Stegostoma tigrinum: one gene and its partners. The protein of the gene in region 1 interacts with the protein of each later gene in a pairwise test. Links are inferred from orthologs where the notes say so. Each region holds a gene or a part of one and is shown on either strand. Other genes may lie near its edges. The genes, in order: drg1, zc3h15 and rwdd1.

Evidence for each region.
Region 2: the proteins of drg1 (region 1) and zc3h15 interact in binary tests that used the Homo sapiens proteins (3 or more experiments, as listed by UniProt). The two-hybrid records come from large-scale screens. The link is inferred for Stegostoma tigrinum from reciprocal best matches to the Homo sapiens genes DRG1 and ZC3H15.
Region 3: the proteins of drg1 (region 1) and rwdd1 interact in binary tests that used the Homo sapiens proteins (3 or more experiments, as listed by UniProt). The two-hybrid records come from large-scale screens. The link is inferred for Stegostoma tigrinum from reciprocal best matches to the Homo sapiens genes DRG1 and RWDD1.

The regions. Positions count from the first base shown.
Region 1 is NC_081379.1:46,784,266-46,791,665, forward strand, and holds the start of drg1 (developmentally-regulated GTP-binding protein 1), read right to left. Parts: upstream 3,095-7,400; 5' UTR 3,023-3,094; coding exon 2,984-3,022; intron 1-2,983. UniProt on the Homo sapiens protein: Catalyzes the conversion of GTP to GDP through hydrolysis of the gamma-phosphate bond in GTP. Appears to have an intrinsic GTPase activity that is stimulated by ZC3H15/DFRP1 binding likely by increasing the affinity for the potassium ions.
Region 2 is NC_081360.1:39,409,494-39,417,250, reverse strand, and holds the start of zc3h15 (zinc finger CCCH domain-containing protein 15), read left to right. Parts: upstream 1-4,683; 5' UTR 4,684-4,789; coding exon 4,790-4,861; intron 4,862-7,757. UniProt on the Homo sapiens protein: Protects DRG1 from proteolytic degradation. Stimulates DRG1 GTPase activity likely by increasing the affinity for the potassium ions.
Region 3 is NC_081357.1:57,080,724-57,088,559, forward strand, and holds the start of rwdd1 (RWD domain-containing protein 1), read right to left. Parts: upstream 3,058-7,836; 5' UTR 3,009-3,057; coding exon 2,870-3,008; intron 1-2,869. UniProt on the Homo sapiens protein: Protects DRG2 from proteolytic degradation.

The DNA of each region.
Region 1 (7,400 bases):
GGGTGGGGATGGAAAAATGTCTTGGGTGGTGGGGTCGGATTGTAAATGGCGGAAGTGTCGGAGGATAATGCGTTGTATCCGGAGGTTGGTAGGGTGGTGTGTGAGAACGAGGGGGATCCTCTTGGGGCGGTTGTGGCGGGGGCGGGGTGTGAGGGATGTGTCGCGGGAAATGCGGGAGACGCGGTCAAGGGCGTTCTCAATCACCGTGGGGGGGAAGTTGCGGTCCTTAAAGAACTTGGACATCTGGGATGTGCGGGAGCGGAATGTCTTATCGTGGGAGCAGATGCGGCGGAGGCGGAGGAATTGGGAATAGGGGATGGAATTTTTGCAGGAGGGTGGGTGGGAGGAGGTGTATTCTAGGTAGCTGTGGGAGTCGGTGGGCTTGTAATGGACATCAGTTACAAGCTGGTTGCCTGAGATGGAGACTGAGAGGTCCAGGAAGGTGAGGGATGTGCTGGAGATGGCCCAGGTGAACTGAAGGTTGGGGTGGAAGGTGTTGGTGAAGTGGATGAACTGTTCGAGCTCCTCTGGGGAGCAAGAGGCGGCGCCGATACAGTCATCAATGTACCGGAGGAAGAGGTGGGGTTTGGGGCCTGTGTAGGTGCGGAAGATGGACTGTTCCACGTAACCTACAAAGAGGCAGGCATAGCTGGGGCCCATGCGGGTGCCCATGGCCACCCCCTTAGTCTGTAGGAAGTGGGAGGAGTCAAAAGAGAAGTTGTTGAGTGTGAGGACGAGTTCCGCTAGGCGGATGAGAGTGTCGGTGGAGGGGGCCTGGTCGGGCCTGCGGGACAGGAAGAAGCGGAGGGCCTTGAGGCCATCTCCATGCGGAATGCAGGTGTACAGGGACTGGATGCGGAATGCAGGTGTACAGGGACTGGAGGACGTCCAGTCCCTGTACACCTGCATTCCGCATGGAGATGGCCTCAAGGCCCTCCGCTTCTTCCTGTCCCGCAGGCCCGACCAGGCCCCCTCCACCGACACTCTCATCCGCCTAGCGGAACTCGTCCTCACACTCAACAACTTCTCTTTTGACTCCTCCCACTTCCTACAGACTAAGGGGGTGGCCATGGGCACCCGCATGGGCCCCAGCTATGCCTGCCTCTTTGTAGGTTACGTGGAACAGTCCATCTTCCGCACCTACACAGGCCCCAAACCCCACCTCTTCCTCCGGTACATTGATGACTGTATCGGCGCCGCCTCTTGCTCCCCAGAGGAGCTCGAACAGTTCATCCACTTCACCAACACCTTCCACCCCAACCTTCAGTTCACCTGGGCCATCTCCAGCACATCCCTCACCTTCCTGGACCTCTCAGTCTCCATCTCAGGCAACCAGCTTGTAACTGATGTCCATTACAAGCCCACCGACTCCCACAGCTACCTAGAATACACCTCCTCCCACCCACCCTCCTGCAAAAATTCCATCCCCTATTCCCAATTCCTCCGCCTCCGCCGCATCTGCTCCCACGATAAGACATTCCACTCCCGCACATCCCAGATGTCCAAGTTCTTTAAGGACCGCAACTTCCCCCCCACGGTGATCGAGAACGCCCTTGACCGCGTCTCCCGCATTTCCCGCGACACATCCCTCACACCCCGCCCCCGCCACAACCGCCCCAAGAGGATCCCCCTCGTTCTCACACACCACCCTACCAACCTCCGGATACAACGCATTATCCTCCGACACTTCCGCCATTTACAATCCGACCCCACCACCCAAGACATTTTTCCATCCCCACCCCTGTCTGCTTTCCGGAGAGACCACTCTCTCCGTGACTCCCTTGTTCGCTCCACACTGCCCTCCAACCCCACCACACCCGGCACCTTCCCCTGCAACCGCAGGAAATGCTACACTTGTCCCCACACCTCCTCCCTCACCCCCATCCCAGGCCCCAAGATGACATTCCACATTAAGCAGAGGTTCACCTGCACATCTGCCAATGTGGTATACTGCATCCACTGTACCCGGTGCGGCTTTCTCTACATTGGGGAAACCAAGCGGAGGCTTGGGGACCGCTTTGCAGAACACCTCCGCTCAGTTCGCAACAAACAACTGCACCTCCCAGTCGCAAACCATTTCCACTCCCCCTCCCATTCTCTTGATGACATGTCCATCATGGGCCTCCTGCACTGCCACAATGATGCCACCCGAAGGTTGCAGGAACAGCAACTCATATTCCGCCTGGGAACCCTGCAGCCATATGGTATCAATGTGGACTTCACCAGTTTCAAAATCTCCCCTTCCCCCACTGCATCCCTCAACCAGCCCAGTTCATCCCCTCCCCCCACTGCACCACACAACCAGCCCAGCTCTTCCCCCCCACCCACTGCATCCCAAAACCAGTCCAACCTGTCTCTGCCTCCCTAACCGGTTCTTCCTCTCACCCATCCCTTCCTCCCACCCCAAGCCGCACCCCCAGCTACCTACTAACCTCATCCCACCTCCTTGACCTGTCCGTCTTCCCTGGACTGACCTATCCCCTCCCTACCTCCCCACCTACACCCTCTCCACCTATCTTCTTTACTCTCCATCTTCGGTCCGCCTCCCCCTCTCTCCCTATTTATTCCAGTTCCCTCCCCCCATCCCCCTCTCTGATGAAGGGTCTAGGCCCGAAACGTCAGCTTTTGTGCTCCTGAGATGCTGCTTGGCCTGCTGTGTTCATCCAGCCTCACATTTTATTATCTTAAACAACTGTGCCTGGGTCCCTCTGTTTTACAACACTGCCCAAGGCCCCACTTTTGTCTTTCTTCGTTTTTCCAAAATGTAGTGGGGGGGGGGGTGGTGGGTGACGACGAGGGGATGTGACGGGGGAAGTGCCGAGTGTGGGTGGGGGGCGAGTGGCCTCTACCTCCCTGCCACCCACTGTCCATCTGCATCCCTTCTTTTCCCCCGCCCCCAATTGGTATCACCTCTTTCACCATTCCCCACCCCGGTGTCGTGTGTCCCATACGCGAACATTCTGATTCTCGACCTGCTAATTACCTCGGCCTCAATCTCCGAGATTTTCTGAAGGATACTCATGTCGAACAACCACAGCCGGATGAACCCTGTCCAAGTCAGACAGCCTCGCGAGACCGACCACTCCGCGGGATTGGGCGGGGAAAGCGCCACTGCGCCTGCGCATTGCCTCACCGCCCGCCCAGTGCAGCGCGCGGCTGTTCGTTATTAACGGTTGAAACGGCCGTTGAGGCAATGCCGAGTCGTACACCTCAGTTTAGAGTGTTTGCATAGGAGCACGGAACAACAAGGAGATGTCAACAAACATCACTTTAGCAGTTAACTAAGAATTACTCTATAGATTTAAAGAAGTCAATCTTTTGTTCCGACCTTAAATTAGGGGTATCTCAGCTCTCTCAGAGTAGGTCCGTCCATTTAACGAAGTGGTGTGTTAAACCTAGTTTTCAGAGGTTTCAATTTACTTGATTTTTAGAGAGCATGATAAACCTTAAGGGCCATTGGCAGTGTCCATAGGTCTGGCTCTTGTTCCATGGATATGTATCATCTCATGTCCCAACAGGTCCGTTGAAAATAATTTTAGAAAGGACTTCCCTCCGTCACATTTCATCTAATTTTCGATGCAGCTGGGATCTCGGTGATTTTAGGGACTTCGTGGTAGAGGTGGAGGAGATTTTTTTTCTCAGTATGTTGTTAGACATTCAGTAATTGGTTCTTTGGTACACAGAAAGAAGCTGTTTGATGAGTAACTGGTAAGTTACTCGGCACATTCGAACGAATACGTAGTTTAAAAGTTACGGAGTGGTACGTCAACTCAGCTATACGTATCCCATTTTTCCCATCTGCAAGAAACGTTACCAACTGCAAATTTGAGCTCCATGGACAAGAATGCAAGTAATGGCTAGAGTCACTTTTGTGCATTCAAAGGGCAGAGAATTACGTAGATAGTATATTCAGGGAGGTAATCACATTGCAGGTTAGGTTCATAGAAGCTGAAATGAAATTGTTGAAGATAGGCAAGTGGTGTGGAGGTCCCCCGAGTCCACCCTGGCACCACTGGAGATAAAGAAAGGGGAAAAGAGTCAAAAATCAATAGCGATAGATTATTTCATGGTCAGGGGATCAGACAGGCATTTACATGGCAGTAAAGAAATTTAAGGTGGTGTGTTGCCTCCTGGTGCCAGGGTCAATAATGTCACAAAATGTAAGATATCCTTCTGGGGTGGATGACCAGCCAGAGGTCATGGTCCACATATGTACCAGTGACCAAGATAGGAGGAGCGACGCAGTCCAGAAAGTAGATTCTGGAGAGTTTGTAAGGAAATTAAAAATCAAGACCTCGAGTAGTAATCTCAGAATACTCCCAATGCTAGCTGGTAGTGATCATAGGAATAGGAGGATTGATCAATTGAACACATAACTGAAGAATTGGTGGAGGAGGAGTTGATCAGATTTTTGAAACAATAAGACAAGTTTTGGGATGGATGGAATGTTGGGCAGGTTATACTTTTACAAGACCTGGACTGATATCTTCACAGAGAGATTTGCAGCTCAAATTGGAAGCAGTGTAGCTGGCAATAGGAAGTAGATATGTGATAAGTAAAATCAGGAGACAGGCGAAAGATTGTGAGCATCAACTAAACTTAGAATGCAAAATAATGTCAAAAACAAAGTCGAGCACTCAACTTGAAATGCACAACGCATTTGTAACAAAGTAGGTGATTGCAACGCACAAATGGAGGAAAATGGGTATGATCTAATTACCATTAGGGAAACCAAGCTGCATGATAACCAAAACTAGGGAATTGAATATTCAAGGATATTTGATATTTAGGAAAGACAGGCAAAAAGGAAAAGGATGTAGTGTTACATTGATAATAAGGGATGGGATCAGTACATTAGTAAGGGAGGATGTCAAATCAGTAGAACAAAATGTGGAATCTAAGGCAGGGTCACCAGACCCGAAATGTTAACTCTGATTTCTCTTCTCAGATGCTGCCAGGCTGCTGAGCTTTTCCAGCAACTTCTGTTTTTATTTCTGATTTGTAGCATATGCAGCTCTCAGTTTTTTTTAAAATGTAGAATCTGTTTGGATGAAATTAAGAAACATCAAGGGGGCACCATACATTGAAAGGACTGGTTCCTAGGCCATGAAACAATAGTGTGGACCTCATTATTAATCCAGAAATTAAAGAAACATTCCCCAGCGTGATGAATACGGTAAGCATTGGAGACTTCAATCTACATATAGACTGGGTAGACCTAATGTGCAATAATGCTGTGAAGAATGAGTTCCTGAAGAGCATTATGGTTTTCTAGTGCGATATGTTGAGAAATTGACGAGAGAATGAACCATTTTAGATCTAGTATTATGAATAATGGCTAATTAATATTCTTGTAAATTAATCTTTAGAAATGTGTAATATAATGTTTGAAAATAAGGTAGTTCAATCTGAAGGTGGGTGGAAGTCTGAACAAAGGATATAATTAAATTCTGAGCAGCAAATTGGCTGAAATGGATTGACAAATTACATTCAAGGATATGACAGTACATTAGAAATAGATAACCTTTAAAGAGCTATCTCTTAATTTACACTATTGACATATACCTTCAAAGCACACAAACTGAAAAATGTCTGTCAACCATGGCTATCAAAGTAAATTGTGGATTACTGAAAAACTTTTTTCAAAGCTATTGCAGCTTCAAACCTTACTGGTCAGTAGACACGCTGGGATTCCTGAAATTCCACATACATAAGATTACCATATCGGCAACATCATAACTAGAAGAATACTCACAGAATTATACCTTACAGACAATGTCCCAGACACCACCATCACCATCCCTGAATATGTCCTGTCTCACTGGTAGGACAGACACAGCAGAGGTGGCGACACAGTGGGAGAGAATTGCTTTGGGAGTCCTCAACATTGACTGCAGACCCTATGAAGTCTCATGGCTTCAGGTTAAACACGGGCAAGAAAACCTGCTGATTACTGCATAACGTTCTCCCTCAGCTGATGAAACAGTGCTCCTCCAACAACACTTGGAGGAAGCACTGAGAATGGCAAGGGCACAAAATGTACTTTGGGTGGGGAATTTCAATGTCCACCACTGAGTGTGGCTCAGCAGCAGTAATAATGATTGAGCTGGTGAGGTCCTAAACAACATAGCCGCTAGACTGAGTATGCAGCAGGTGAAGACGGAACCACACGAGGGAAAACCATACTTGCCCTCATTTTTACCAAAATGCCAGTTGCAATTCCATCTGTCAAAGACAGTATCAGTAAGAGTGACCACTGCACAGTCCTTGTGGAGACAAAATCCCACCTTCACATTGAAAATAACTTCCATTGTGTTGAGTGGCACTATCACCATACTAAATGGGACAGACTTTGCACAGATCTAGCACCTTAAGACTGGGTATCCATGAGGTATTGTGGACAATCAACAGCAGCAGAATTGTACTCAAGCACAATCTGTGACCTCAAAACCTGGCATATCCCCCCTGAAATATTACCATCAAGCCAGAGGATCAACCCTGGTTTAGTACAAGACTGCAGGAGGCAATGCTAGGAGCAGGACCAGGCATACCTGGTGAAGCCACCAAACAGGACTACTTGGAATCCAAACAGCATAAGCAGAGTGTGATAGATAGAGCTATGCAATCCCACAACCAATGGATCAGATCTAAGCTCTGCAGTCGTGCTACATCCAGTCGTGAATGTTGGTAGACAGTTAAACAACTCACTGGAGGAGGAGGCACCACAAATATCCCCATACTCAATGATGGAAGAGCCCAGCACATCAGTGCGAAAGATAAGGCTGAAGCTTTCACAGCAGTCTTCAGCTGGAAATGCCAAGTGGATGATCCATCTTGGCCTCCTCCAGTAGTCCCCAGCATTACTGGTCTTCTGCCAATTCTATTCACTTCATGTGGTAAAAAGAGATGGTTGGAGACACTGGGTATGGCAAAGACATGTCTTGAACACATTCCAGCAACAGTACTGAAGACGTGTGGTCCAGAACTTGCCGCTCCCCTAGCCAAGCTGCGCCAGTACAGTTATAATACTGATATTTATCTGACAATGGAAAATTGCTTAAGTATGTCCTGTACATAAAAAGCAGGATAAATTCAACCTGGCCAATTACCACCCCATCAGCCTACTCTCAATTATCAATAAAGTGATGGAAGTTGTCATCAACAGGACTAGCAAGCAGCACCTGCTCAGCAAGAACTTGCCCAGTGATGCCCAGTTTGGGTTCCACCAGTGCCACTCAGTTCTTGATCTCATTACAGCCTTGGTTCAAACATGGACAAAAGAGCTGAATCCCAGAAGTGAGATGAGAGTGACAGTATTGACATCAGGGCTGCATTCAACTGGGTGTGGCATCAAGGAGCCCTAGCATAACTGGAGTCAATGGGTATCGGGGGCAAACGCT
Region 2 (7,757 bases), on another chromosome or scaffold:
CCACCCCAGCCTTGAGTTCACCTGGGCCATCTCCAGCACATCTCTCACCTTCCTGGACCTCTCAGTCTCCATCTCAGGCAACCAGCTTGGAACTGATGTCCATTTCAAGCCCACCAACTCCCACAGCTACCTAGAATACACCTCCTCCCACCCACCCTCCTGCAAAAATTCCATCCTCTATTCCCAATTCCTCCGCCGCATCTGCTCCCACGATGAGGCATTCCACTCCCGCACATCCCAGATGTCCAAGTTCTTCAAGGACCGCACCTTTCTCCCCGCAGTGGTCGGGAACGCCCTTGACCGCGTCTGCCGCATTTCCCGCAACACATCCCACACACCCCGCCCCCGCCACAACTGTTCGAAGAGGATCCCCCTCGTTCTCACACCGCACCCCACCAACCTCCGGATACAACGCATCATCCTCCGACACTTCCGCCATCTACAATCCGACCCCACCACCTAAGACATTTTTCCATCCCCACCCTTGTCTGCTTTCCAGAGAGACCACTCTCTCCGTGACTCCCTTGTTCACTCCACACTGCCCTCCAACTCCACCACACCCGGCACCTGCCCCTGCAACCTCAGGAAATGCTACACTTGCCCCCACACCTCCTCCCTCACCCCTATCAGGCCCCAAGACGACTTTCCATATTAAGCAGAGGTTCAGCTGCGCATCTGCCAATGTGGTATACTGTATCCATTGTACCCGGTGTGGCTTCCTCTACATTGGGGAAGCCAAGCGGAGGCTTGGGGACCGCTTTGCAGAACACCTCCACTCGGTTTGCAATAAACAACTGCCCCTCCCAGTGGCGAACCATTTCCACTCCCCCTCCCATTCTTTAGATGACATGTCCATCATGGGCCTCCTGCAGTGCCACAATGATGCCACCTGAAGGTTGCAGGAACAGCAACTCATATTCCACTTGGGAACCCTGCAGCCCAATGGTATCAATGTGGACTTCACCAGCTTCAAAATCTCCCCTTCCCCCACCGCATCCCAAAATCAGCCCGGTTCGTCCCCTCCCCCCACTGCACCACACAACCAGCCCAGCTCTTGCCCCCCCCACACTGCATCCCAAAACCAGTCCAACCTGTCTCTGCCTCCCTAACCTGTTCTTCCTCTCACCCATCCCTTCCTCCCACCCCAAGCTGCACCTCCATTTCCTGCCTACTAACCTCATCCCACCTCCTTGACTTGTCCGTCTTCCCTGGACTGACCTATCCCCTCCCTACCTCCCCACCTATACTCTCTCCAACTATCTTCTTTTCTCTCCATCTTCGGTCCCCCTCCCCCTCTCTCCCTATTTATTCCAGAACCCTCTCCCCATCCCCCTCTCTGATGAAGGGTTTAGGCCCGAAACGTCAGCTTTTGTGCTCCTGAGATGCTGCTTGGCCTGCTGTGTTCATCCAGCTCCACACTTTATTATCTTTACTTCACTGGAGTTTAACTGGCAGGTTTACATTGGCTGGTATTTACTCTGGATTGTATTTACACTATAGGATTTACTCCACCATATTTTATACTGGGCAAGGCTTAGACTGTGTGACACTTACAATGGGTGGGACTGACTTCAAAAGGTTTTACACAGGATGAGATCGACAGTGGGTATGATTTATTCCACTAGGTTTTACACTGGGCTAGAGTTACAGCAGACCACATATACACTGGGTGGTATTTACACTGCGTGGGATTTACTCCACCAAGTTTTACACAGAGTGAGATTTACTTCAATGTGTTTTACACCCGGCAGGATTTACAGTGGGCCATCTTTACACCAAGCAGCATTTTCACCAGGCAGTACTTATATAGGCTCATATTTAAACTGAGTGGGGTTTACAGTGGGTGGTATTTTTGCTGCCATATTTACACAAGGCAGTATATGCATCTGTTGGTATTTATACCTGGAACACTTGTGACAGAGAGTATTTACACCAAGTGGTATTTACACTGAGCGGTATCGATACTGAACATGTTTACCTTGTGCTTAGTCAAACATGCTCATAATCGCACTAAGTGGTGTTTACATCTGGTGGGATGGTATTCATATCTCTCAGTATTAACATTAGGTATTATTATGTCAAATGGTATTTAAACTAGGCAGAATTTACAACTGACAGTATTTGCATCTAGCGGCACTGACGTTGGGTAGTAATTATGCTGGGTAGTATTTACACAAGACAGCCTTTGCACGAACAGTGAAGTACACCAAGTGGTACTTACTTCAGATATGACTGACTCCAGGCTGTATTTACTCCAGGTGATATTTACACTGGGAGTGATATATGTCAGGTGAGATTTACACTGGGCAGCATTAATACCAGGTCATATTCACAGCAGGTGAAATGCTTACATGGTGGATTTACACTGTGCAGAATTTACAGCATGAGATGTTTATTGCTGGTAGGATATACACCAAGTGATATTTGTCCTCTGCTGTACTTACACACGAACAGCAATGAAGCTGGAGAAGTTTACACCAGGTATCACATCAGGAAGTATTTTTAGCACATGGTATTTACTGTGGGCTACACTCCAACTTAGTGGTACTGTATTTAGAGTTGATTGTATTTACACTCAGCGATATTTACATTGGGCAGGATTTATTACCGGGCAGGATTTAGATGTCCTGGGATTTTCACTGGGCAGTATTCACAATGAAGAGGTTTTACACTAGGTACATTTATGATGTGAAATATTTATACAGTGGATCATATTTACACCTGGTACATTAACACCAGAGATTTATACCTGGTGGTATTAACGAAGGCAGTAATTTCCCCAGGTCAGACTCACACATGACAGTATTTAACCCAGACAGTATACACATTAGGAGGGCTTTATACCAGGTGGAATTTGTAATATGTGATACTTACACCGGTGAGACTCCCCAAGGTGATGGATTCTTATCCATGGTGGGATTCTCACCTGGCACAGGATTGTTGTCGTGCTGGTTCCTTATTCAGGATGGGATACGCCCGGGTATAGGACTCACAAACAGGGGTGGAATACCACAAAGCGTGTGAATCTCCAATGAACAGGATTTCCACCCAGTGCAGGATACCCCAGGTGTGGGATTCCCCTGGGTACGGGATTCCACCCGGACGCAGGATTCTCACACAGTGTAGGATTCCCCCAGGTACAGGATTCTCACCTGGTGCAGGATTCCCCCAGGTACAGGATTGCCCCAGGTGCAGAATTCTCACCTGGTGCAGATTCCCCCAGGTACAGGATTCCCCCAGGTGGAGGATTTTCATCTGGTGCTGGATTGTCCCAGGTACAGGATTGCCCCAGGTGCAGATTTCCCACCTGGTGCGGATTCCCCCAGGTGCAAGATTTTCACCTCGTGCGGGATTCCCCCAGGTGCAGGATTCTCACCTGGTGCGGGATTTCCCCCGGTACAGAATTCCCCCAGGTGCAGGATTCCCCCAGGTGCAGGATTCTCACCTGGTGCGGGATTTCCCCCAGGTACAGAATTCCACCCCCCACCCCCGGTGCGGAGTTCCCCCAGGTGCAGGATTCTCACCTGGTGCGGGATTTCCCCCGGTACAGAATTCCCCCAGGTGCAGGATTCCCCCAGGTGCAGGATTCTCACCTGGTGCGGGATTTCCCCCAGGTACAGAATTCCCCCCCCACCCCCGGTGCGGAGTTCCCCCAGGTACAGAATTCTCCCAAGTGCAGGATTCTCACCGGGTGCAGGATTCCCCCAGATGCAGGATTCCCCCAGGTGCAGGATTCTCACCTGGTGCGGGATTTCCCCCAGGTACAGAATTCCCCTCCCACCCCCGGTGCGGGGTTCCCCCAGGTACAGAATTCTCCCAAGTGCAGGATTCTCACCGGGTGCGGGATTCCCCCAGGTACAGAATTCCCCCAAGTGCAGGATTCTCACCTGGTGCAGGTTTCCCCAGGTACAGAATTCCCCCAAGTGCAGGATTCTCACCTGGTGCGGGATTCCCCCAGGTACAGGATTCTCACCTGGTGCCGGATTCCCCCAGGTACAGAATTCTCACCTGGTGCGGGATTCCCCCAGGTACAGAATTCCCCCAGGTGCAGGATTCTCACCTGGTGCGGGATTCCCCCAGGTACAGAATTCTCACCTGGTGCGGGATTCCCCCAGGTACAGAATTCCCCCAGGTGCAGGATTCTCACCTGGTGCAGGATTCCCCCAGGTACAGAATTCTCACCTGGTGCGGGATTCCCCCAGGTACAGAATTCCCCCAGGTACAGAATTCTCACCTGGTGCGGGATTCCCCCAGGTACAGAATTCTCACCTGGTGCGGGATTCCCCCAGGTACAGAATTCTCACCTGGTGCGGGATTCCCCCAGGTACAGAATTCCCCCAGGTACAGAATTCTCACCTGGTGCGGGATTCCCCCAGGTACAGAATTCTCACCTGGTGCGGGATTCCCCCAGGTACAGAATTCCCCCAGGTACAGGAATCTCACCTTGTGCGGGATACCCCCAACCACAGGAGAGGGCTACGCCCTAGTTCCAGAATACCACCCAGGTGCGGGATACGCCCCCACGTGCGGGATTGTTCGCCCCCAGATGCCGGATACCCCCCAAACATGCGCGGGCTGTCATCGGAGCGGTCGGAGTTCCGGCGCGGGATGATCAGCGAGGCCCCGCCCTCTCCCATTGTGGTTGCCGTGGTGTCCGCGCGTGCGCGGAGGTGGTCAGCTGAGATCACCCACAATTCAGTGCGGGGGCGCCGTCGGCGTTGTGGGGACCGGGGCCCAATTCTGAGGCCGGCTGTGGGAGCAGGGCGAGCGGACACTGATTCAGGCTGCGATGCCGCCCAAGAAATCCTCGAGTCAACCCAGCAAAAAGACTGAGCAGAAGAAAAAAGAGAAGGTCATCGAGGTGAGTTGGGGAGGCATCGGCATTGCGCGATCCGACCTCTGCTCCCGCGGCGCCGACAGGGACAGGCCAGGCCGGGCCGGGCCGAGCGTGTGGCCACCCCCTCGGCCGCAGTGGGGAACGGAGGGGTTCTGGGAGGAGAAGGCCCCGATTTGAGTTTCAAGTTGTGTATATATTCCTGTTTCCGTTTTTTCTCTCTTCTCCAGTCTGGCTGTTCTGTGCGGAGTTTAATGACCCTGTTAACTCGTGTGTTGTGGGTCCTGTGTGTGTGTGTGTGTGTGTGTGTGTGAGAGAGAGAGAGTGCGAGTGAGTGATGGCTCTGTAGGTATGGCAAGGAGGCATGTGTTGGAGATTGAAATACTGTTCCTCCCACCACAGGCTACAGTGAGCTGCCTCTTTTAGCAAAAACCCACCTGTCGGTTTACAATTCTGATGACAGCCCACTGGCCGTAAATGTTAACTCTTGATTTCCTTCCTCCATCTCCACGGATGTTGTCCGACCCACCGCATATTTGCAGCGTTTTCTGTTTTTTTTTTCCTATTTCGACCTGCTTTCGTGTCAGTTCACAGTACCTGTTAACGATGGCTTCGGGGGGGGGTGGTCTTTTTCCTGGGGTCATGTGGTTTTAAGGTTGTATAATTCAAAACACTTGGGGTAGTTTGCGAAAGACAGTATTATGTCATTAATTTCAAAAGCAAGATCCTGGAAGTGCTGAGCACCTGAAGAAATAGAAAATGCTGGAAATGTTCAGATTTGGCAGTTTGAGGAAAACTGGACAGCTAATGTTTCAATTTATTGACCTTTCATCATTGACTTGAAATGCTAACCCTGTATTATATCTCTGTTTGATTGTAGAATTAACACTGTTACAATTTCTGTATTAAAAATTGTAGCTACTTTAGTATTATGGTCTAATGTAAGGTGTGATCTAAAATAACTATCAGACTAAATCAAGACATTTTTGGCAGTATATCTCCTCATGAAAATGAAGACTGGGTAAATACTTTTCAAAACATAAAATTTGGATACTGCGTATAGAGAGAATGTTACCTCATGGGAAGAGCGTAACAAGAGGCCAGCAATATACAAGATTCTTCAAGAAATCCAGTAGAGGCTTCAGGAGGAACTACTTTTCCTAATGGGTATTTAAATGCAGAACCAACTACCACAGTGAGTGAAGGAAATAGTATTGATATATTTAAGGGAAAAAAGGCAAGCACATTACGGAGAAAGGATAGTTATGGTTTTAGGTCAGAGTAGATGGTAACATGTTTAACTTGAGCACGAATGCTATCCTGCACCAGATGTGCTGAATGGCCTGCTACTTGCAAACATTAATTCTGCACCTTGTAGGCAGTATAAATCAGTTGAGAAACAAAGGAGCAGGTGTCTGCTATTTGGTCCTTTGAGCATGATCCACCATTCGGTGGAATCATGGTAGATCAGACTTTAATTGAATCTCTCTTCTGTCTGTGCTCCACAATTGTTTACTCCCTGTTTGCATCTAAATAATACTTAGTGGCTTTCACAATCGCAATGTTTTATCACCAATTAAGTAATTTTAATTAGTCACTAATATAGGAAAAATCACTCCAATTTGTGCATACAAACTCCCTCCAATAACATTATGAAGATGTAATCTGTAGTAATATTGATTGAGAGATGTGTATTAGACTGGACATTGGGGATAACTCCCCTGCTCTTCTTCAGAATAGTGCCATTGGATCTTTACATCCTTCTGAAAGAACACTTGGAACCACGGTTTAACATCCCGTCTGAATGACGGTACCTCTGACAGTGCAGCACCCCTTCAGTACTGCACTGGAGTGTGCATCTAGATTTGAGCTCAAACCTCTGGAGTGGGACTTGAACTCACAACTTTCTAACTCAGGTGAGATCACTACAAATTGATCCATGGCAATTGTTAGATTCTAACAGCTGCTAAATAAAAACAATGCATCAGTTTGGTACTATTATCTATCTACAATGATTGGGCAGACGTTCTTTGTTATATAGTGACTTTTCAGATGGTAATGTAGAGATATAGGATGTGTCAATTCAAAAGCGATGAGAGGAAAGCTAAAATAAAAACCAAGTACAAGAGTAGCTCAGGTCTGACAACAACTGGGGGGAGAGAAATCGTTAATGGTTCGAGTTTGATGTGACTCTTGAGAATGGAAGAGAAAAGCTAAGGCTGTTGAGAAAGTGATGTGGAAAAAAACTGGTGAATGAATTGGGAAGAAACAGAACTTAGCAAATGTGATAATGCATTAATGACTGAAATGGCATTGGAGGAAAAAGTATTTAAAGCTAAGATATTAGCTCTGAATATTCAGAGCAAAAAATCGGTGGCCCGGTGGTTAGTTCTGCTGCATCACAGGGCCAGGAATACAGGTTTGATTTCAGCCTTGAGCGACTGTCTGTGGAGTTTACATGTTCTCCAGACATCTGCATAGGTTACCTCCGGGTGCCCTGGTTTCCTCCCACACTCCAAAGATGTGCAGGCTAAGTGGATTGGGGCCATGCTAAATTGCCCATAGTGTCCAGGGATGTGCAGTCTAGGTGCCTTCGCCATGCAGGGTTACTGAGATAAGGTGGCGGAGGTGGTCTGAGTCAGATGCTGTTAGATGGTTGTGTTGATTTGATGCACTAACTGTGATAGTTTTAGTGTTAGGGTTAGACTGGCCTCCTTCCACACTATAGGGATTGTACGATCTTGTAGCTGTTGCTATTAAGATAGCAAGATTTTGGAGCAGAAGTAGGCTATTCAGCCCATCATCTGCTCTGCTGTTCAACAAGATCATAGGTGATCTGATAACCGCTAACTCCACTTTCCTGCCTTTTCCCCATAACTCTTAATTCACTTGGTGGTATTGAGTAAGCTACTAGAGTTGGCAA
Region 3 (7,836 bases), on another chromosome or scaffold:
TGCGTGGAAAGCGGGAGACACTGTTGAGGGCGTGCTCTACCACTGCGGGGTGGTGGGATGGGGGTCGGGGTGGGTGAGTTGCGGTCCTTGAAGAACGAGGATATCTGGGATGTGCGGGAGTGGAATGCCTCATCTTGGGAGCTGATGCGGCGGAGGCGAAGGAATTGGGAATATGCGATGGAATTTTTGCAGGTAGGTGGGTGGGACGAGGTGTATTCCAGGTAACTGTGGGAGTCGGTGGGCTTGAAATGGACATCGGTTTGGAGGTGGTTGCCTGAGATGGAGACAGAAAGGTCCAGGAAGGTGAGGGATGTGTTGGAGATGGCCAGGTGAACTGAAGGTTGGGGTGGAAGGTGTTTGAGCTCTTCTTGGGAGCATGAGGCGGCGCCGATACAGTCATCAATGTAGCAGCGGAAGAGGTGGGGGTTAGGGTCCCACAGACCCAACCAGTCCCCCTCCACCGACACCCTCATCCACCTAGCCGAACTCGTCTTCACCCTCAACTTCACTGTCGATTCCTCCCACTTCCTACAGACAAAGGGGGTGGCCCAAGCTATGCCTGCCTTTTTGTAGGTTATGTGGAACAGTCCCTCTTTTGCACCTATACTGGCCCAAAACCCCACCTCTTCCTCCATTACCTTGATGACTGTATCGGCGCCGTCTCGTGCTCCCAACACCACCTCGCAGCCACATTCCTGCAAAAATTCCATCCCGTATTCCCAATTCCTTCACCTCTGCCGCATCTGCTCTCAGGATGAGGCATTCCATTCCTGCACATCCCAGATGTCGTCGTTCTTCAAGGACCGCAACTTCCCCTTTCCAGTGGTCAAGCACGCCCTGAACCGTATCACCCGCATCTCATCCCTCACACCCCGCCCCCGCAATAACCGCCAAAAGAGAATCCCCCTAGTCCTCACATACCACCCCACTAACCTCCAGACACAACGCATCATCCTCCGATACTTCCGCCATCTACAATCTGACCCCACCACGAAAGACATTTTCCATCCCCACCCTTGTCTGCCTTCTGGAGTGACCACTCTCTCCGCGACTGCCTTGTCTGCCTCACACTCCCCTCCAACCCCACCAAACCCATTACTTACCCCTGCAACCGCTGGAAGTGCTACACCTGCCCCCACAGCTCCTCCCTCACCCCCATCCCAAACCCCAAAATGACTTTCCACATCAAGCAGATGTTCACCTGCACATCCGCCAATGTGGTATACTGTATCCACTGTACATGGTGTGGCTTCCTCTACATTGGGGAAACCAAGCGGAGGCTCGGCGACTGCTTTGCAGAACACCTACCCTTGGTTCGCAATAAACAACTGCACCTCCCAGTTGTGAACATTTCAAGTTCCACCCCCCCCACCCATTCCCTAGCCGACATGTCCATCCTGGGCCTCCTGCAGTGCCATAATGATGCCACCCGAAGGTTGCAGGAACAGCAACTCATATTCCGCTTGGAACCCTGCAGCCCAATGGTATCAATGTGGATTTCACCAGCTTCAAAATCTCCCCTCCCCACCACTGCATCCCAAAACCAGCCCAGCTCGTCCCCGCCTCCCTAACCTGTTCTTCCTCTCACCTATCCCCTCCTCCCACCTCAAGCCGCACCTCCATTTCCTACCTACTAACCTCATCCTATCCCGTTGACATGTCCGTCCTCCTTGGACTGACCTATCCCCTCCCTACCTCCCCACACATACTCTCCTCTCCACCTATCTTCTCCTCTATCCATCTTCGGTCTGCCTCCCCCTCTCCCCCTATTTATTTCAGAATCCTCCCTCCAACCCCCTTTTCTGATGAAGGGTCTAGGCCCGAAACGTCAGCTTTTGTGCTCCTAAGATGCTGCTTGGCCTGCTGTGTTCATCCAGCCCCACACTTTGTTAACAAATAAAAGTATTGTATCTTGACAGTAATGCCTGTGCCTCTGAATCAGAAGCTTCGGATCAATTCCTACTGTAGCATCATTGCCCACAGAAAGTGTGTTTATGATGCAGCCAAACAGTTTGACAATCCATCCAACTCAAGCCAAAGCCGATCAAGCTGGAGAGATGCTTGGTCAGCCATGCATGATGAGGCATGCAGCACCTAAAATTTCTCTGTCAGAGATGCCTGAGGGCTTGTCACCAGGCCCAAAATGTTAACTCTGACTTCTCTTCACAGATGCTGCCAGACCTGCTGAGCTTTTCCAGTTTTTGGTTCTGATTTACAGCATCCACTGTTCTTTTGGTTTTTATGCTCAGCACCTAACGGTTTAAGGTTAATTATAGACAGGAAAGCACAGATTCCAGATGAGAACTTAAAAAAGGCAGAGGTGAAGACTAATGAAGAGGGAATAGAACATCCCACTGTTAAATAAGCTATTTTGTTTTCAGATATTTAAATCCTATTCACTACGAAGTTTGATTCTGCTGCCCCCCTATTTTGTTTCGCATCAGAATATACTTACTCATTGCTTCAACATTCCATACGCCTTACAATTTCACACGTGGGGACAAATCAATGAAACTAAATCCCGCACATTTTTATTGACAGGGCTAATTCTTGATTGTTATAATATCAATACAGATGTTCCCAAGTACCAAGGATGATGATCATCCAATCCCTCACCCGTGGACGGCTTTGAGAAGATGCGGAACTAACGACACGTGACACGTAACCAGACTGTTTACCTACCACATTCTGACGGTTTCAGATGCCAGTAGCTCCCAAACCGGCCACAGCGAAGCCCTCCCCTCCCCTCCGGCTGCCAGCCTCTTCCCATCTCCCGTGGCCCAGTGGCAGAACCCGGCCCATGGCCCATGGCCCGGCCCCGGCCCCTCTCCTTAGCGGAGGGCCCTCGGCCCGAACAGAGGCCTCTCACCTGTGAACGAGTCCGGATAAATGGACTCCAGTGCCTCCAGCTCATTGCGCTGCTCCTCGATGTAATCGGTCATGTTGAACGACTGAGAAACGCCATTAAGATAAAGGGCGACACCGACCGACAAGCCCGCTCTGCACATGCGCTCCCCTCCTCCACCGGTCTCCCTCCTCCCCGAGAGAGGCTCGGTTTGCGCGCGCGCAGAGCCCGTGTGTTGGCTAACAAGGGCCGAGTCCTCCCAGGTGAGGGCGGAGGAGCTCGAAGGACTGAGAGACGGGGTTCTTCTTGTCGATGCCTCGTTATTGGCGGCGTGTCGGTTCGGAGGTGGGACGCTTGCCTTCATTCGTGTCTCAGTAGGTTTATGTGTCTGTTAGCGGTTATTAGGCTAAATTCAGGAGTTATCATTCAGGCAGAACATTTAAAAATTACAATATTTTGCTGAAACAATGGATTGCGATCTCTTTGAGGAAAAACAGCGATTCCCATCCTCTCCACTCCCCAAACTATACGATTTGTGCCCCGGTAGACCATGTATTTCCAGTGAAGTTAGGATTCTCCTGGATTATTAATGGAATTAGTTTCATAAATGGCCTACGTTTAGGTTTAAAGCCGCTTTGTGCACAGATGATGATACGGTCCTCTGTTTGGCACCCGCTGTTGAGAGGACAGACTGGTTATCATCTGCGATCCAGTTTGACCTGGTCTCGGAAGCGACGGAGAATTGAGGCAAGAGGGGTTACTCGTGCTTCCACGAGGAGCTTGAACAGTTCATCAACCTTACTGACACCTTTCACCTCAACCTCAGATTCACCTAGACCATCTCTAATACCTCCCCCTCCTTCCTGGGCCTTTCCGTCTCCGTCTCTGGTGACCGCCTCGAAACCAAGATCAATTTTAAGCCCACCAACTCCTGTAGCTACGTAGACTACACCTCCTGTCACCCACCTTCCTGCAAGAATGCGATCCCTTCCTCCCAATTCTTTCACCTCCGCCGCATCTGCTCCCAAGATGGAGCATACCACTCCCGGACATCGCTGATGACCTCCTATTTCAAGGACTACACCATACTCCGCTGGTGATCAGAAATGCCCTCTACTGTATCTCTTGCATTTCCCACACCTCTGCTATTGCATCTGCTCTCCCCAATGAAAGTAAAGACAGAATACACCTTGTCCTCACATATCACACCAAAGACTCCATATCCAATGTATTATTTTCTGCCACTCCCATCACCGACAATCCGACCCCACAACCAAAGGTATATTTCCTCCTCACCCTATCTGCCTTTTATCGGCACCGCTGTCTCTGCGACTCCCTTGTCCGCTCCACGCTCCCCACTAGCCCCACCACCACTGACACCTTTCCTTGCAACTTCAGGAAGTGATACACCTGCCCCTACACCTCTCTCCTCAGCTCCGTTCAAGGCACAAAAGTAACCTACATTAGACAGAAGTTCACCTGCACATCTGTCATGGTCTGCTGCATCCACTGCTCCCAATGTGGCGGCCTCTACATTAATGAGACCAAGCCGAGGCTCGGAAACTGTTTTGTAGAGTATCTGCATTGTGTTCATTCTGGGCCTCCTCCAGTGCCACAATGACACCACCCAGAAACTGGAGGAGCAGCACCTCATTTTCCACCTTGGGAGCCTACAGCCCAATGTCTTAAATGTGGTTTTTACCACTTTCAAAATCTCCCCACCCTCAGCCACATCCCATGATCAACCCTCCCTGTCACCCTGCCTCCTTAACCTGACACAACCTGTCCATCTTCTCTTCCACCTATCTGCCCCCATCTCACTGACTAATCTGCACCACTGCCTACCTGCAATTACCTATTGCCATCCCACCTACCTTCCTAAGCCCCACCTCTCCTCTCTCTATTCACTCTCTCTCCTCATTTCTGAAGAAGGGTTCCGATCCGAAATGTCAACGTTCCTGCTCCTCTGATGCTGCTTGGCCTGCTGTGTTCCTTCAGCTCCACACTGTGTCATCTCTAACTCCAGCATTTGCAGTTCTTACTATCGCTGAGGCAAGAGTACAGCCCTGTTCTTTTGGAACTGGATTTTGATTCCTTCATTGTTTGGATAGATTACCTGAACTCTCTGCATAAATGGTTCAGAGCAATCAGAGTATCTGCTAAAATTTGGATGAAGTGAATTGGTATGGTCAAACAAAAATGGCACATAGGAGCGACATTCTGTCTCCATTGCAGGTGAGAATCTGGCCATTGGATGCAGGGTGCTCTTGGTGATGCTGTACATGGCAGCCATTTCATTTTCTACATTATTTGAAGCTTGGAAAAGGACTACATTTGGAAGGGCATAAACTTCAAGATAAAAGTGAAAAAAGTAACAGCATTGCCCCCTCATACTCATCTACTTTTTCTATGCAGTTGCATCAAACTATGCGTAATCCCTCAGTATATGAACACAAAATTTTATTATGTTCTGATGTTTTGCCTGGGGTGCTGCAAGCGATGGGTCCGTTCATATTGCCAAGGAATGCTACATTGCAACGTACCGTAGCATTGTAAACTTTTAGTGTAGAATTGTAGTGCGGGTTGTGGATGTTGTGGTTGGTTGGCTCACAGAGCTGGTTTGTTGTTCCGCAGATGTTTCATTACCCTGCTGGGTAACGTCATCAATGCAGCGTCCGATGAAGTGCTTTTTATTTTCCTGCCTGCTAGTTAAACTCTGGTGCCTGTTGAGTTGGGTTACGTCACTTCCAGATTTGCTTCACAGTGGAGGAGAACTAGGGTCTAGCTCTGTGTTTTTGTTGATCGCCTTCTTAGTGGACAATCAGGACTGTAGAAATTCCTGCGCTTGTCTCTACTTGACCTGTCCCAGGATCCTGGAGTTGTCCCAATCAAACTGGTGGTTTTTCTTATCCATGTGATTGGTGATGAGTGAGTATTGGCTGTGTCTTTTTGTTGCCAGTTGATGTTCGTCTACTCTTGTGGCTAATTTTCTTCCTGTCTGACCAATGTAATGTTTGTCACAGTCTTTGCAGGAAATCTTGTATATGACGTTGTTCGCGTATCCACAACTGGCTCAGAAGATGTCTATTACACGAGTGACAACAGGAAGATACTGCACGCCCCAACACATTCGTCACGCTATGTTACATCAAAAACACATCTGAACTGACCACAAAACTCCTATGACCACTGGGCATTGCAGTTGTACACAAACTCACATCAACCCTACGCCAACTAATAATCCGAACCAAGACCCGTTACCCACGCTTGGTTTCCCCAACGTAGAGTAAGCCATACCAGGTACAGCAGATGCAGTATACCATATTGGCGGATGTGCAGGTGAACATCTGCTTGATGTGGAAAGTCATTTTGGGGCCTGGGATGGGGGTGAGTGAGGAGGTGTGGCGGCAGGTATAGCACATCCTGTGGTTGCAGGGGAAAGTGCAGGGTGTGGTGGGGTTGGAGGGGAGTGTGGAGCGGACAAGGGAGTTGTGGAGAGAGTGGTCTCTCTGGAAGGCAGATAAGAGTGGGGTTGGAAAAATGCCTTTAGTGGTGGGTTTGGATTGTAGATGGTGGAAGTTTCGGAGGCTGATGCATTGTATCCGGAGGTTGGTGGGGTGGCATGTGAGGAATAAGGGGATTCTCTTTTGGTGGTTATTGTGGGGGCGGGGTGTGAGGGATGAGGTGCGGGAAATGCGGGAGACACGGTCGAGGGCGTTCTTGACCACTGCAGGGGGGAAGTTGCGGTACTTGAAGAACGAGGACATCTGGGATGTATGGGAGTGGAATGCCTCATCCTGGAAGCAGATGTGGTGGAGGCGAAGGAATTGGGAATAGGGGATGGAATTTTTGCAGGAAGGTGGGTGGGAGGAGGTGTATTCCAGGTAACCATGGGAGTCGGTGGGCTTGAAATGGACATCGGTTTGTAGGTGGTAGCCTGAGATGGAGACAGAAAGTTCCAGGAAGGTGAGGGATGTGTTGGAGATGGTCCAAGTGAACTTAAGGTTGGGGTGGAAGGTGTTGGTGAAGTGGATCAACTGTTCGAGCTCCTCTTGGGACTATGAGGCGGCACCGATGCATTCATCAATGTAACGGAGGAAGAGATGGGGTTTCGGGCCAGTGTAGGTGCGGAAAAGGGACCGTTCCGCGTAACCTACAAGGAGGCAGGTATAGCTTGGGCCCATGTAGGTACCCATGGCCACCCCCTTTGTCTGTAGGAAGTGGGAGGAATCGAAAGAGAAGTTGTTGAGGGTGAGGACGAGTTCGGCTAGGTGGATGAGGGTGTCGGTGGAGGGGGACTGGTCGGGCCTGCTGGACAGGAAGAAGTGGAGGGCCTTGAGGCCATCTGCATGGGGAATGCAGGTGTATAGGGACTGGATGTCCATGGTGAAAATGAGGTGTTGGGGACCGGTGAATTGGAAATTCTGGAGGAGGTGGAGGGCTAACCTGCATTCCCCATGCAGAAGGCCTAAAGGCCCTCCGCTCCTTCCTGTCCCGCAGACCTGACCAGTCCCTCTCCACCGACACCCTCATCCACCTCGCCGAACTCGTCCTCACCCTCGACAACTTCTCTTTCGATTCCTCCCACTTCCTACGGACAAAGTGGGTGGCCATGGGTACCCACATGGGCCCAAGCGAAACCTGCCTCTTTGTAGGTTATGTGGAACAGTCCCTATTTCGCACCCTCCACCGACACCCTCATCCACCTAGCCGAACTTGTCCTCACCCTCGACAACTTCTCTTTCGATTCCTCCCACTTCCTACAGACAAAGGGGGTGGCCATGGGTACCCACATGGGCCCAAGCTATACCAGCCTCCTTGTAGGTTACGTGGAACAGTCCCTTTTCCGCACCTACACTGGCCCTAAACCCTACCTCTTCCTCTGTTACATTGATGACTGTATCGGCGCCGCCTCATCCTTCCTAGAGGAGCTCGAACAGTTGATCCACTTCACCGACACCGTCCATCCCAACCTTAAGTTGGAGCATCTC